Caenorhabditis elegans: one gene and its partner. The protein of the gene in region 2 purifies or fractionates together with the protein of the main gene of each other region. This does not show direct contact. Each region holds a gene or a part of one and is shown on either strand. Other genes may lie near its edges.

What was found. Proteins that work in one complex are often made in the same cells at the same time.
Region 1: the proteins of dhs-13 (region 2) and gstk-2 fractionate together in Caenorhabditis elegans (co-fractionation; one large-scale study listed by BioGRID). This does not show direct contact.

The regions. Positions count from the first base shown.
Region 1 is NC_003282.8:7,238,106-7,244,033, reverse strand, and holds gstk-2 (Glutathione s-transferase kappa 2), read left to right. Parts: upstream 1-1,763; 5' UTR 1,764-1,778; coding exon 1,779-1,929; intron 1,930-2,528; coding exon 2,529-2,908; intron 2,909-3,377; coding exon 3,378-3,524; 3' UTR 3,525-3,589; downstream 3,590-5,928. Other genes in the region: elo-3 (Putative fatty acid elongase 3), read right to left, coding at 4,138-4,251, 4,659-5,336. UniProt on the Caenorhabditis elegans protein: Has roles in respiratory and lipid metabolism.
Region 2 is NC_003283.11:1,764,457-1,775,680, forward strand, and holds dhs-13 (DeHydrogenases, Short chain), read right to left. Parts: upstream 7,279-11,224; 5' UTR 7,272-7,278; coding exon 7,209-7,271; intron 6,080-7,208; coding exon 5,996-6,079; intron 4,802-5,995; coding exon 4,375-4,801; intron 1,581-4,374; coding exon 1,381-1,580; 3' UTR 855-1,380; downstream 1-854. Other genes in the region: clec-205 (C-type lectin domain-containing protein), read left to right, coding at 1-35, 401-524, 571-815; F36H9.7 (UPAR/Ly6 domain-containing protein), read right to left, coding at 9,465-9,588, 9,653-9,735, 10,289-10,462.

The sequences.
Region 1 (5,928 bases), on a different chromosome or scaffold from region 2:
TTTTTTCCTTGGCTTCAAAAAATATACTTATTACGCTCTTATTTTAAAGGTGTATATATCACGGAAAGAGAAACAGTCACGAGCATTTTATTTATTTATTTATTTACTTCAATACGAGCATTCAACTAGATTCTTTCAATTTGTTCTATTTCTTTACACTTTTATAACAAAAGGCATGTAAAAAATTTAAATTTGAATCACCGCGATGACAAATTCCTTTTTTTTACTTTTTTTTACTTAATTTTGCTTATTTATTTTTGCTTATTTTTGGACTTCTCAATTGTTGATTCAAATTTCATAGCCAATTTTTTTAAATTGAATTTCCTTGTTGGGCCAGTAAGATCAACTTAATGCAAAACCCAAATAAATGATACTAAAAATATTTATTTCTTCAAACTTTGAAACAATTTGCACTCTTTATGAACCAAAAGTCAAGAATGTGGCAAACATTTGCGAGTGGAAGGCAGAGAATTCGATAAGAAGAAAACAAAAATGAGTTCTAGATCTGAACTGTTAGTTTTCACATCATTATTGTTTTTTAAACTTTTCAGATATAGTTTAATTGGAAAACTTATCATAAAATGTAAAAGTTTTCCAATTAAATTTAAAAACAATATATTCCAGTTGTTTTTTCCAAAAGCCGGAACATTTTCGGAACAAATTATTCCAATCGGATTATTTTCTATTTCATTTTCTTTTTTTTTTCTCCGAAACGTGAACTTTATGAAATCCCAATTCCACAACCCAAAGTACATATTTAACCTCCAACAAACAACACAATTCTGTTCCCTCTTTTTCACCCGTTTGCACTTTATTTCTTTTCACTCACCTCGAGTCACGTGATCTCCTTCTAAGAACTGAATTTCAAAAACACAAAATGTTGTTTTCATCCGTTTCTATTTCAGCCCTTTATGTTTTTATTGAACGGTGAAAAGATCGGATCATTTTTACACTGGCTACAATTTTATTTTTTCTCATTTGTTCGTGTATGTCATATACCTGCCTGCCTGCGTGCCTTCTTAGCCCCTCGATTCTACATTCTAACATAAAATGAGCTGGGTGGTGTACACACATGATAAATTTACGTTTATCTCCCTTTATCATTTAAATTGTTTTGTTAAAAGTTCAATTAAGAAATGGCAGGTATTTTTGTGCGTATTTGGAATAGTCATAAAGCATTTAACCAAACTTCTTTCCTGAAAATATTGTTCATTGTATATTTTCATATCTTTTATCCAAAACAACTAAATGCTCAAAAATCGCACATCTGGTTATCACGTGCGGTTAGGAAAAATAGAAATCAAATATTTAGAGTACCCAAGTTTTTTTCCAAACAAAATCTATTTTTATCGTGGTCATTTGCAAACAATTCTACACTTTGTTCACTAGACTTGAGACCAACTGTTTTTTTTCTGTTTTTTGTCCGCTGATGCTCCAATTGCTCTACCACGTGTCTGTGCTCCTATCAACTCATTGGTACCTCCCTTGATGTTTACACAAATATCTTTTCTTTCTTCTCAACTCTATCATTATTGTCTGGCCAACGTGATTCGGCTGTTTTTTTTTTTCGTGCCTAATTATTTTAAAAAAAACTTTTCTACAAAATAAGAATTTTCAGAAATCTTAAAAGCGTCCCGAAGTAGTTCAAGTTGTTTTAGTACTGGAGCTCATTAAGGTTTAGAAAAATCATAAGCTTCTGTTTTTTTTTCGCTTTTTTGTCGAAAAATTTTAAAATAATTGCTGAATTTTCATGAATTTTGCAGACTTCAAGTTTCAAAATGCCGAACCGAAAAGTGGTCAAATTCTTCTTCGATGTCATTTCTCCGTACAGTTACTTTGGATTCGAAGGAATCACTCGTCATCGTTCCGTTTGGAAGACTCCAATTCAGATGAAACCATTCTTTTTTGCTGGTGTTGTCAGACATACTGGTGAGTTTTTGTATTTTTGTCTTGAAATTTCTCTAATATCCGTAAAAAAATGGAATTAGCTTTTTTAAAGTAAGGTTTTTAAACCATGACCCTCTAACAATTCCGTTTGAAATGTCAAAATAAAAGCTTTCAATTTACTTCTGGAAAAGGACATGCAAAACCTTAAGAAGCCTGTATGTTATTATTTTCTAAAAAATGCACCTCTATCTATTTATATCATAAGGTCGGCTACTTCTACTTCTTAAAATCTGCTTTAATCTGACGAAGGGCACTAGAATAGATAAATACACTTAAATAGTTCAACAATAGTTCAACATTATAATAGTTGAACATGACATATATTAACATAATAAGACAATCCAAAAATTTCAGGATTTTTCAAAATGATCAGTGAACGTTTTGATAAGTTGCCAAATGTCCCTAAAAGGACTATTTGAAAGCAATTTCGAGACATTTGGAAAAGTGATATTTGGTAATTTTATAAGTATAGGAGCATTGATAAATAACATAATTGTTTTGAAAATTTTTTTCGAATCGTGCTAATCATCAGAAAGTTGTTTGATATGTACCTTCTAAATCATATAACTGCAAGTTTTCAGAAAACCCCGGTCTCCCACTCCGTATTCCTATCAAAGAAAAGTACATGCACAAAGATTTGCTCTTCTCTGCCCAATATTGGGGAATTCCGTTCCGTCTTCCCAAGGACTACACAAATATGATGTTGAACACAAGTTCAATCGTTCCACAACGTATTCTTGTCGCTTCACAACTCCGTGATAATGTTTTGATGGAAGACGTTGCTCGTGGACTCTGGCATCGATTTTATGCATACGGAAAACCAATTTTCACAAAAAGTCAAGTTGCCGAAGTTTTGAGAGATTTGCATGTAAAAGATGTCGATGAGTTGGTGATGATGAGTGATTCGGCAGAAGTTAAGAACATTTTAAGAGAAAACACAGATGAAGCCATCGGGAATGGAGTAGGTCATTTATTATAGGAACCCAGAAAAACACGGAATCGACGAGAAAACACGCTCCACAACCAATTTAAAACGGTCCGCCCCCTAACGATGGGTCTCGTTAGGTATTTTCCGTTAAACTTGAACGTTTTTGATTAGGCTCGACAATTTTCTAGAATTAGTCTTTCTGTTATATTTTTCGAAGTGTTTAATGATTTCAACATCGAAATGATGTCTAAGAAAATTATGTGAATTTAGGGCGTTTTCACTTATCATAATAATTTTATTTCATCTATTTCAACCGAAAAAACATCAAAAACTACGAAAAATATAACAAAATAGACGACGAACGCAAAATTCCTAACGAGACCCATGGTTTAGGGGCGGAGCATTTTCAGTTGGCCCCGGAGCGCGCTTGCGCGTCGTTTTAAAATGTTTTTTTGCTGTTTTATAATATTCTCAATTGGGAATTAAAATTAATTTTTTTCAGTGTTTCGGAGCTCCGTGGATGCATATCACTGATGGTCACGGAAAAGTACTTCAAACAGTTTTCGGATCGGATCGCCTTCCACAGGTGGCCGATTTTCTTGCCGAGCCATTCAAGGGTCCAATGAGAGAGAAGAAGCCGAACGCATAAATTGTCAGATTAGCATTCTAAAAAGTGTCTAGAATTTTATCTGAGAAAGAATAACGATTAAAATTAATTCTTTCTTTTGTGTTGGCAAGAGAAATACAGAAAACGATGGAAAAAATGTGGAAACAAAAAGACTACTAATCTATTTCACACGAGTTTCAATTTGTTGCGGCAATTACAGAAAAAAAACGGAGCAAAAAAGAAAGAGCATAAGCTAACGAAAACTTGGGGTTGGTTGGGGGGACGAAGGGTGAGAGATCTGAGTATGTGTTAGTTTTGCGTGGCCTCTGATGATTAGCCGAATATAAATAAGGGAAAGCGTAAAGGTTTGATAAAAAGTAAAAGAGAAATTTCAAGAAACGAAAAATAATATTACCGGTACAGAGAGTGTAGATAGTTAGAGAGTGACAGACATCCGGGACCCAATGGGGCGGGGCGCGCGGAAGAGACGATTTGTGTCGATTTACGAAATTTTCCTCGTTGTCATTATTTCGTAAATCGACACAAATCGTCTCTTCCGCGCGCCCCGCCCCATTAGGTCCCGGATGTCTGTCACTCTCTAACTATCTACACTCTCTGTACCGGTAATAGAGAACAAATAACAATCTGATATTTTCTAATCAGCTTTTTGAACTTTTCTTCGTGCGGCGGCGGACCTCGTTGTGATGGATGGCTCAGCGATGTTAGCATTGATATCTTCTTTTGGCTCCAGAATTTCGAAATCAACAGGCTGAAAAACGAATTATTTTTTTCCAAAGATTTTTTAAAAATATGCTCATAAGTCAGAATTTTCCAAGTTTCCCAGCAAGGGTAACGGGTTTTCCATTTTTTACTGAAATCTAACAATCGAAATGTTTTTTCGATTTTTCTGATATTTCGAAAAAATTCGATTTTTTCCAAATAGAAAAGTTAAAATTGTGGTCATTTTTCTTCTTGGAAGAATAAGTTCATATGTTTTCTTATGTTTTTTTCCATCAACATTAACAAAATTTGATGAAAATTGAATTTTATAATTATTTTCTGAACATTGCCGATTTTTCGATTTTCTTGAAACCTTTTTTCTCAGGTAAATTAAAACGAGATCGGGGAAATTTTTTGAATTATTTTCATAATTTACTGTACCTAAAAGATGCTCACCTCTTCCTTTTCCTTCTTATCTTTCTTAACTTCGGTATAACGGTTGTTTTTCTTAACATATGCATGGTAGAAGAAGTTGGCGAAAAGAAGGAAATATGTGAAATAAACTCCAAAGCATAATCCCAAATTGTCCCATGTCTGTTGGCAGTATTCACCCGATGACTTGATACGGTAGACAGTGACTCCGATGATTACTCCCATAACCATTTGAGCAAGTTGGAGAGTAGTAACAACCATTGCCATTTGTTTTGGAAGACGGAATTTCAGAGAACGAAGAGCATAGTAGGAATACATAAGAGCATGAACTCCATAATTCATCCAAATGAACCACCGTCCTGATGCAGTGTGATCCTTGTACGCGTGCCATGTGTAGATCATAACAGTTACATGATGATACCAGTGAAGGAAGATGAGTGGACGTTTACGAAGAACGATGAAGATTGTGTCGATGAGCTCGAAAAGTTTGCTCATTGCGAATTGTTCAGTCCAGAAACCAGTGACTCCTTGAGCATAAGATGAATGACAAATTGAATATTTGAATGAGTTTCCTTCTGCTGACCAACTCCATACAAATTCAGGTGTCATTCGGAGGAACCCGAGAATTGAGAAAATGGCTAAAAATGAATTCCAGACGAAGAGTGGTGTGTCCAGTTGGAAGGGCTTGTACTTTTCCATAATCTGAAACATTTGAGAACTATTAAGTGATTTTCGGTTTCGATTCTTAATTGCATTCTGAAGGCTAGACTCAAAAGTAATAACTCGTGATTTTTTGTAGATGAGAACCACCTGCTAAGCAATTACTTTAATGTCGATATATTTTCGGTTATGCTTTAAAATATGTAACGCACCTAGGAGGCTTCTGAAACGGAATTCACAGTTTTTGGGAGTAGAGGTTGTGTTTTCTATAGTAAAAACTGGTTAGAAACTACCGAATTCATGATGAGACTTCTCAAAAAAAATTCTAAAAATTTTTATGACAAAAATTCCGAAAAAGTCCAAAATTTGAAATTTTGCCAGCTTTTTCTTGTCGCTGCAGCTGGGAAACAGTTTTTTATTGATGTAATAACTTTTATTGAATATTTTGGTAATTATTCTCGCGTTAACTAGTTTCTTTTAGCACATTTCAGATTTTAGAAAAATGCGCCTCTTTTTCGGAAATTGACACGCCATAAAAATTCTTTTTTTTTTTTGAGAAGTGTCAATACTCTCTCTTTAACCACTATTGTAGTTTTCGACTGTTTTTCTACACATAATTTTCTACAGACATTTC
Region 2 (11,224 bases):
ATTTCAGTGGTCTGGCCAATACGAAATGCTATCGGGTTTGTGAAACACAAAATTCTGAGAATGCGTATTGTACAAAACATTTTACGTGCAAAATATGTTGCACAATACGCATTCTTCTAATATTGTTTTCCTGTAATACTACACAAGTACAAATAATCTCAATACAAAGTTTTCTGAAGCTCGTAATTATACGTGTATTCAGCTCGACGAATTGGTGTATTTTGTGCAAACATCACATTTGAAACATCACATTTTTTTCCCGCAGCGAAAACTACAGCAATTCTTTAAATGATTACTGTATCGGTAAAAGAATTACTGTAGTTTTCGCTACGAGATATTTTGCGCGTCAATTATGTTGTGAAGTACGCATTGTGGTCCCGTAGTAGTTCCAATATTCCAGGTCTCCTCAGACAAAAAACAATTCGCTGAAGCTGAAAATCTCTGCCTATCCGATCATCCATTATTCCTGCATACTCCTAAACTGACATCAATCGAGACAAAGGAAGAGGAGGAGAAAGTGCGGAGTGAGTCGGTGTGCCAACGCGCTCTATCGTCAATTCCCATTTTCAGCCATAGTACCGCCCGTCAGTGACGGGATGTTCTGGTTCGGGCTAAAACGGGACCCGACCAACTCGTCAAACTGGTATTTTATCAACGGAGACACCTATGATTCCAGTTATCAAAACTGGCGATCCGGATATCCACGAGATGCTGATGGTTGTGATTGTGTGGCGCTGGTGATTAATGATAATTCATGGGTGAATACTGACTGCAATAAGCAGCTGTATTCGATATGTGCTTTTCGGTACAACTAGTGATCTACTGCTCTACTGATAAAGCTTTGGAAACAAATTGTATTTTTTTGAGAATTTCATTCAGAAACTCTAAATTGATTAGAAATGAGAGGGAGAAATGAAACGTGGCTAATACATGGAAAATTCGAGGAAAAAAGCATGACAGAATACCAGTCATTTGTGTTCGAACAAAAAAAAAAGAGGAAATATGAATAAAAGAACCCTAAATTGCAAAGAGGTGGACGACAACGCAAAACTCACAGGTTTGGCACATGATGATGATGATGAGGGGGACGTGGTGTCATCAGAGTGGCTCATTCTGGTTTGATCTACGTAGATTTACGAAAAAATGCGGGAGAAGAGATGCAGAGTTGTCAACTTTTCGATAAAAAAATCCCCCGCATTTTTTGTAGATCAAACCGTAATGGGACAGCCTGACAACGTGAGGGGGACGGGATATCAAAAAAATTGAAATGAATCATAATTTAGTGTGTCGGGGAGGGAGTGGAGGGGAAAAATGAGATTCTTCATCAAGAAAAATTAAAAAAAAACGTTTATCGGCACTATTTTCCACCGCCGGAGATCTCTAAATCCGCGCGTGCATGCCTCCGTTGATACCGATCGTCTCTCCAGATATGTAGCTAGCCTCGTCGGAAACCAGGAACGCCACCGCCTCGGCACACTCATCCGGATCACCGAATCGGCGTTGTGCAATTTGTGAGAGCCACTTCTGCTTTTCGGATTCGTCGGAGAAGAGGACTTGCGAGAAGTCGGTTTGAATGATTCCTGTAAAGAAATTTATGTTTTAGTGTGGTTCGAAAAAATCATTGTGATATTATTCAGACGCGAAAATTTTGCGATTTTTGAGTCGAAATCACGGTAGCCCGGTCTCGACACGATCTTTGAAGAGTACTGTAATTTCAAAAAATCCTGTTTTCGCGGGCTTGTCATCGATTTTCACTAGTTTTCTCACGATTCGTTAAAAATTTAAGATTGAAATTTTCTCTTTAATAAATAAATAAATATTTTTTGTAGAAAATTTTTCTGTAATTTTTTGCTAGACCAAAAATAAAAGAATCTCAAGTTTTCAACTAATCGTGAGAAAACTAGACAAATCTATGAAAATTCCGTAGTACACTTTAAAGGCGCACGCCGTTTTGCATTTCACAAAAATATTTCAATATTACGGGAACACAAAATTCTGAGAATACGTACTGTGCAACATATTTTACGCGCAAAATATCTCGCAGCGAAAATTACAGTAACTCTTTAAATAAATACTGTAGCGCTTGTGTCGATTTACGGGCTCGATTTTTGAAATAAATTTATTTTCGAATAGTTACAGCTATATTCCAGTTTCCTTCGTTTCTTTGTATTATTTTCTCTTTATTTTGCTTAAATGTAATATTCCATCGTAAATCGAGCCCGTAAATCGACACAAGCGCTACAGTAGTAGTCATTTAAAGGATTACTGTAGTTTTCGCTACGAGATTATTTGCACGTCAAATATTTTGTGCAATACGCATGCTAATAGTCTTGTATTTCCGTAATATCTACGTCACCCATCAACGACAACACGTGGTGTCAGCCTGTTTCACTTTGATCTACGAAAAATGCGGGAATTTTTCCCAGAAAAATTGCGACGTCAGCACGCGCTCTCTTCTCCCGCATTTTTCGAAGATCAAAGCAAAATGGAACTTTCTGAGTCCACGTGCGTTGGAAAAACAACAGTTTTCACGAAAATTCCGCAAAAATTCGGATAAATATTTATATTTACCTAGATCTCAGGATTTACGCCTTATGATTTCTGGGTCATTAAGTATGTTATTTATCAGATGGTTTTTTGGCAAGTCAACATGTTTCAAGTCACATGGCGTTTTTTCCCAAAGATCGCCAAATTTCAACATTTTGATTTTCGATCGCGCCAAATCTTCCGTTTCAAAGTTGAAAAACAAACGAAAAACATGCGTTTTTTTCAAATTTTTTGAAAATAACCCTCCTCTGGGTACCCGATGCACCGGGATCCCGTGAGTTGGCGTTTGGTTTTTCGAAGTCAATGTGGGAGAGAAGCAGCGAGAGGTAAATATTGAGAAAATATGTCAAATGTTTGCTAAAACTCAGACGTTAGCCTCGTGGCTTCTGTTTTTTTGTTGCTCCTGCTACTGCTCTTTCGCAGAGCAAATAGCTCGCACGAGGGGTAAAAATGGGGTCAATCGATCCGAAAATAAGTAGTGGGCAACGCACTTTTCGGAATGATTTTGGAAAAAAAAAATCGATTTTTCAGGAGCTCCAGCTAGCTTGGGAAATCCCTACACACTATGACAGAAGCAGGCAAAAATCGAAAACCAATTAAAATCTGTTCTTTGTCGAATCGAATCAAGATAACAGAAAGAGAGAAAAGATTAAATGATAAAAGATACAGAATGTGATCAGTCAAGGACATTAAAGTTTGTGTTTTTGCACCCACTGACCCCTCTGGGAATTTGAAGGAATAGCGGCAAATCCGGCAAATTGCCGGTTTGCCGAAAATTTTGATTTTCGGCAAATTTGCAGTAATTTGCCGGAAATTTTTAGAGGGATTTTTTAAAAGACGGAAACGGAAACAACGAAAAACTGTGCCTTTTCGAAATTTTCATAGAATTTCCTCAAAATATATTATTGACATTTGCCGTTTTCCGGCATATGGGCAATTTGCGGATTTGCCGGAAATTTTCAATTCCGGCAATTTGCCGATTTGTAGATTTGCCGGAAAATCATTTGCCGATTAAAATTAAAATTTTGAAATTTCAAAAAAAAAAGGTGCAAAATCACAATTTGCCGAAAATTTCGCCGTTTTTCCGGCAAATTAGCAATTTGCCGGAAAATTTCAATTTCGGCAATTCGCCGATTTGCTGGAAATTTTCAATTCCGAAAGTTTATAATTTCGGCAATTTGCCGGTTTGCCGAAGTTTTCAATTCCGGAAATTTGCCGATTTGCCGGAAATTTTCAATTCCGGCAATTTTTAATTTCCGGCACATTCGGCAATTTGCTGGAAGTTTTCAATACTGGCAATTTGCCGGAAGCTTTCAATTCCGGCAATTTGCTGATTTGCCAATTTGCCGGAATCGTCGTTTTCCAGGATGCGTACAATTTTGCCGATTAAAATTGAAATTCTGGAATTTCCAAAAAAAAAAAGTGCAAATTTGCCGAAAATTAATTTTTTCGGCAGTTGCCATTTTTCAGGCAAATCGGCAGGTAGGCAATTTTCCAATGAGCGGGAAATTTTGATTCCGGCAATTTGCTGATTTGTCGATTTGTCAGAAGCTTTCAATTCCGGCAATTTGCAGGTTTGCCCATTTGCCGAAAATTTAAATTCCGGCAATTTGCCGAGTTTCCGGAAAAAAAATCGTTTGCCGCGCACCCCTCAAACTTTTGTAGATCAACTGCATTTTTGTAAAATTTTTGAAAAAAAAATCAATTTTCCTAGAAAACCTAGGCTACCAAAATTAGCAACTTATTTTTTTGAATTTTTTGATTTTCAATGATTCAAAATTTAATTTTTTCACGAAATATCCAAAAAACAAATATTTTTCCGCTTACCCGGAGCAATACTATTGACTCGAATATTCCGCCTGGCCAAATTCAAAGCCAACGATTTGCTCAATCCCGTGAGCGTCGTCTTCATCACCGAATACGCTCCAATCTCGTTCATCGGTGAGTATCCGGCGACAGACGACACAAAGACGACATTGCCCCGACCAGAAGCCTCCAAGTGCGGCACAGCCTCTTTTGTAAGTTCGAATGCGGATTTTACGTTCAAATCGAGAAGCTTATCCCATTGTGAGTCGGTGACTTTCATCAGATCACCGTAGTGCGGGTTGACGGCAGCGTTCGACACGAGGATGTCGAGTTTCGTGAATCTGTCAAGTGTGAAGTCGATCAGTTTTGTGCGGTCCGACTTGTTGCCGACGTGTGCTGTTGTGCCGTGAGCGTCAATGTTTTCGAGGCGAAGTGCGGCGACGGCTTCCTGGAAAATGAATAATATTATTGAAAATTTAAAAAAAAAACCATATTTATGTTTTCCTGCTTTTGCATAACCAAGGTGTCGAAAATCGAAAACCAAACATCTAATTTTTCCTGTTTTTTTAAATAAAAAACCGTCTCTATTTACCAATTTTTCTATATTTTTAATGATTTTTGATCGAATCACGTGGTGTAAGAAAGTCTTATTTAGCTTTGATCTACAAAAAATGCGGGATATTTATGCCCAAAAAATGTGACGTCAGCACTCTCTTAACCATGCGAAATCAAATGAGATGTCTGCGTCTCTTCTCCCGCATTTTTCGTGGATCAATCTGAAATGGGACTTTCTGACTGCACGTGCCGAATTATTTTTGAATTCCCGCACAATGGAATAATTTAGTTTCGACATTTTTGCATTTTCCGACAATATTATTACGGTGACAAAAAATTTTGACAATATTGATGCGCAAAATATCTCGAAGCGAAAACTACAGTAATTCTTTAAATGGCTACTGTAGCACTTGTGTCGATTTACGGGACTCTATTTTTGAAATTAATTTTTTTTTTTCGAAAAATGAAAATGACAACGACATTCTATTTTCCTTCGTTTTCTTTTCGTATTGTTTCGTCATTTTATACGAAAAAAACGAAGCAAACAGAAATATCGCTGTCACTTTTCGAAAAAAAATTAATTTCAAAAATAGAGTCCCGTAAATCGACACAAGCGCTACAGTAGTAATTAAAAGAGTAACTGTAGTTTTCGCTACGAGATATTTTGCGCGTGAAATATGTTGTGAAATACGCATTCTCAGAATTTTTTAAACCGTAATAATATATATATATATATATATATATATAGGCAATTTTTAATTTTTGCGATTTTTTTAATTTTTTTTTAATTTTTTGAACCCGTACAAATTATGTTCAAGTAAATTTTTTTGCGGAAAAACGACTGAGAATTTGAAAAAAAAACAATAATGTTTCAAACCACAATGATCAGAGAAAAACTAACTAAATCGCCGTAAAATGCCGAAACTTTCAATTTTTTGTTGCAAAATTTTTTAAAAAATCGGTAGAAAAAAAACTGTATCACCTTTAAAGGCGTACTACCCATATTTTTGGGCTAAAATCGTTAAATTTTTATGATTTTTTCAGGGAAAAACTATGTTTTTTTCTAATTATTTCATCCACAACTCACATCGACATTCTCCTTCTTCCGACTGCAGACGACGACAGAGGCGCCGGCAGCGCCAAGTTGTTTGGCGATGGCAAACCCGATTCCCTAAAAAACAATAATACTAGTTGAGGAGGCGATGATGATGACTTTGTTTTTGAGGAGGCGATGGCTAACATGAACACAAGACAATTTAGAAATAGTATCAATTTAAAGGTGGAGTACCTTTAGTGCTTTATCAGACCCAAAATAGTCCAAAATTACCAAATTTAGTAATAAGACGTTCTGAATGAATTTTTCAAAAAAAGTTAAGGCCGCCCAAAGTTTAGGAAAAAGAATGGTATATTTTCCGCTAAAATCTCAAATTTTGGCCACTTTTCAGTGTCGCAGCGATTGGAACTGAATTTTTATTTAATTAATATTATTTGATGCATGTCTACGAAACTTTGCGTATTAAACAACATATTTGACGCGCAGAATATCTTGTAGCGAAAACTACTGTAGCGCTGTGTCGATTTACGGACTCCATTCTCGAAAAAAAACATATTTTTCGAACTTTTACACATCGATATTCAATTTTTCTTCGTTGTTGTTCAATTCCTTTGTTATTTTTGGGATTTTTTTAAAAATATTTTATCCACTAATATATCAATTTAATTAAAAAACGTACAATACTCGCGTTTTTTACACTAATATTGCCGCCCGTAGGAGTTTACTCATCAAAATTACGCGAATATTGGACGTTTTTCAATTAAATTAATTTATTAATGGATAAAACATTAAAAAATAAGCACAAAAATGACCACGGAATTCGAAAAAGCGAAGAAAAATTGAATATCGATGTGTAAAAATTCGAAAAATATGATTTTTTTTTTCAAGAATGGAGTCCGTAAATCGACACAAGCGCTACAGTAGTTTTCGCTACGAGATATTCTGCGCGTCAAATATGTTGTGAAATACGCATTTTCAGAATTTTTTGTTCTCGTAATAATAAGTTGCGTAGGCATGCATCAAAGAATGTTAATTAAATACAAATTAAGTTTCAACCGCTGCAACACTGAAAAGTTGCCAAAATTTGAGATTTTAGCTGAAAATTTACCATTTTTTTAAAATCTTCAACTTTTTTCGAAAAAATTTTCTCGTCTCACTACGAAATTTGGTATTTTGTACCATTTTGGGTCTGATGAAGCAAATTTTCAGATTTTGAATAAGAAAACCACAAAAAAGGGCTAAATACCTTAGTAGAAGCAGTGACGAGAGCAACCCGATCGGTCAAGAATTTCGTTGCTGGTGAAGCCATTGGTACCCTGTAGAAATGAAAAATGCTGATGTTATTCGAATTTTTATGCCGGCACACGTTTTATATTAACACGGAGGAGGAGATGGGCGGTCAGATAAATATTTTTTGTTGCAAAAATACATAATATGGAAAATGAAATATTTTGTGTGTGTGTCAAATGGTCAATCAACTGACATTATTGTCTGCAGCGGGAATTCATGTGAACACGGGAGAGGAGGAGGAGATGATGATAAGATGGGCGGTCTCCGGCGGCGGGACAACTTTTGCAGAGATCACTCGACGCAGAGATGCAGAACAAAGAGAGGAACGATCTAAAAAGAGCTGCAAGGAGATTTTCGAGTTCTTTTTTTTTGTTGCAGATGGAAAACTAAAAAAACACTTTTTTTTTGTGTTTAAATTTTGTTTGAAGGTGGTGTAGCACGCCCTTCTCAAAGCCGAATAATTATTAGAGCGCGCTCTAATAATTATTCGGCTTTGAGGGGAGCGTGTGTAGTCGAAATTGTCTGAAAACACCGAATGTCATCATGAAACTTCTTGAAGACTTCTCAAAAAAAAATGGTTATGTCGGCGCAAAATATGCCCTTAAATTAGTTAAAACTTGAAATTTGACCACGGCTAGAAACTAACTTTTTGGAAATCACCCTCTAATTTTTGGTATGCAAGTTAATTATCTTGAGTTTTCAACTCGATTTAGGTGCATTTAAGGTCGATTGATCATCAAATTTGGTAGAAATTACCATTTTCTGGTGATCCATCGACTTTAAATGTACCTAAATCGAGTTGAAAACTCAAGACAATTAACTTGAATACCCAAAATTAGAGGCGGATTTCAAAAAAGTTAGTTTCTAGCCGCGGTCAAATTTCAAGTTTTAACTAATTTTAGATCACATTTTGCGCCGACATAACCATTTTTGAGAATTTTCAAGAAGTTTCATTAATAAATTCGGTTTTTCCAGACAATTTTGAGTCCAATAAAGTATTAATAAAATGTAAAAGAGAATATCTAGGAACTAAAGAAACTAATAAAAACGTTTTTGTTTTGAGAACTGCAACGTCAAAGGTGGGAAAATTGACAAGGAAAGTATATGGGCTAATGGTGATGGGGGAAGTCTATCTGACGGGGAAGACCGTACGGAGGTCGTCAGACGAACGAATTATCTGTGACGTTTCTGCAAAAAATCGGGCGCATTTAAATGTTTTGGGACTGCACTTTCGAGATGAAATGCTGTTTGCAGAGTTTTTGATGGAAAATAATATTTTTAAAAACATTTTTTCAACTATTTGCCCGAAGAAAACGTTACTACAGAACTATTTGAATGAAAATAATGCCGGATTTATGCAAAAAAATCGTGTGACTCCGTGTAATTTATTTCAATGACATGAAAAATTGGCTGTTTCTACTGATTTCTGCTGATAAGAACACTTTCAAAGTGGAAAATATGGAAATATTGATAAGAAACTAGCAAATTTTAAATTAAACACACATTAAAATCAAATCTATGATCGTTTTTAAAGAAAAATAGGAGAAAAATGGAAAAATTGCGCACAGAAAATAAAATCTGTTTTTCGCGAGTCCGCAAACACCGCGGTAAGTTTCGAAATGCGGACCGGGCATCTGGTTTTACGCGCAAAGTGTATTTAAAGGAATATTGCGAATTAAGCGGCAGAACTTGAAATTTTGGCATTAAAAAGTAAGCATAAAAATTTGTAGGCATTAAAAAACTTATTATCTGAAAAAAGTTTTTCGGAAAATTGCGACTGTCACAATCAAGACTATTTCTCTTACCGTATTAAGGAGTACTGTAATGGGCAATAATTTAGTAAATTTTAAACTTATTTTTCCAATTTTCACATTTTCCCTTCAATATTTTAAGTATTTCTTTGGTTTTTTTTACGTTGTAAGTCTTTAAAAAACTTGTTTTGACATCAAAATTATTGATGGAAAATGGAAAAGTACAATAACCGTTTTACAACTCGCGGATACGGTAGTTGAAAAGTTTCAATCGCTTCAATACCAATATCCTCAGCTCATAGTGATGTTTTGCTCTGCATTTAATATAATTTCTAGAAATTCAAATGTTTATTGTACAAAACTATGCTCAAAACGAGTCGAAATATGAGGTCAACCGTGAAAATTTCCTATACACCAAAAAATTATTATTTGGAGCTCCATGGAGGGCTTCAAAAATAAATTCAAACAATTCTCCAAAACGCGTAGAGGAAGCCAAGCAGTCCTAATCCGAGGCAGGTGCGGAACGGCTGGCCGGGGCTCGAATTACAGAGATCCGTTTTGCACAAACATTGCTTGGCGGCGATGCTGCAACGTGGAATTAATTATAATAATTGGTGTTATTCTCAATAGAGCGCATTTTGAGACTTACCCTCTGATTCCGATATTAATGCATCCATCCGTTAAATCATCGGTTTTCTCAGCGCATCGTTTTTCTACATAATAGGTTCCGTCCTGAAATAATTTTTTCTTGCCGACACGGGGTTCTGGACTTTCTCATTGATTTTTCGCGCTCCATTGACAATCGCCCGCCGGATAACGCGTGGGAAAGCCGTGTACTTTACACGGACAAATACATTCAGTTTTACAACTAAAATCGAGCCGCGACGCGACAAGCAACGCGCCGTAAATCTACCCCAGCTATGGCCGAGCCAAAATGGCCTAGTTTGGCGAACTCTTCCATTTCAATTTATGAGGGAAGCCAGAAATCTGTGGGGTGCTCATATTTTCACAGCGCTCATATTTTACGCGCAAAAATTCGGCCATCGATATTTTTTTCGGTGCCACTCGTCACGTGGTGTCAGAGTATCTCATTTTGGCTTGATCTACGTAGATCTTCGAAAAATGCGGGAGAAGACACGCAGAGTTCTCAACTGATTTCGCATGGTCAAGAACGTGCTGACGTCACATTTCTTTTGGGCAAAAAATTCCCGCATTTTTTGTAGATCAAACCGTAATGGGACAGCCTAGCACCATGTGACTCCTCTAATTTAAGCAAAAAACTCACTGCTTTATGGCCAATAATCGATAAGCATCCAAGATTTTCGGGAGCACACGAGTTATTTCGGATTTCACCGCGACACATTGGCTCCGGAGCCGACAGGAAAACTCCACACGTGAAGCATTCCAGACCGAGCGTCGAAATTGGGAGTATTGTGAACAGGAGCAGCTGTGGGAGCATCTGAAATTGATTTTTGAAAAATTTTAAAACTATACTACGAAAGGAAAGAAGCCGGTAGAAAACTTTAACGGATCGTAGCTCGGCGAAATTTTGAAAATACAAAAAAAAGTTCATTTCAAAAAATTGTCAATTCTCTAAAATTTACACCTCAACCGAAGCGCAAAAAATCAAGATAAAAATTTCAGAAAAATGCAAAATAACTGAAAATATACCAATTCTCTGCCGACTGACATGATTTTGTTTTTATTTTCCATCGGCTTCACTGGCTCGGCACCCCATTGAGCCCACCAACAACAGAAAAAAAACAAGTTGGCTCAATGTGCAAAACAATTGGAACAACAAAGTTGCAAACACAAGTACTTCTCTTTTTTTTTGAATTTCAAATGAGCCTTGCACACAAGTTCAAAGTGGGCGGAGTGATGATGGAAATAGTGTGAACAGATGTGAGACGCAGGCACACCGGAAGTGTGCACTGATCTCATTTGCATAACGGCGGCGGTGGTGGTCCAAATGCTTTTGGGAAAAGCTTATGAAGGAGTCTGAGCGGGTGTGGAGAATGAGGAAATTATTAAAAGTGATCGGTTATAGAGGGAAATTGGCCGGGGCGAAAAAAAACACATATTATTTGAGAAGGAAAGGAACGAAGCCAATTTAGGCGTGTTTATTTTTATTTTCATCAGTTTTCGGATATTCAGTTTTCAAAATTACCGAAAAAAAAAATGCCTCGCTGTCTGCCTACAAGGCGAACCACATGGTGTCAGC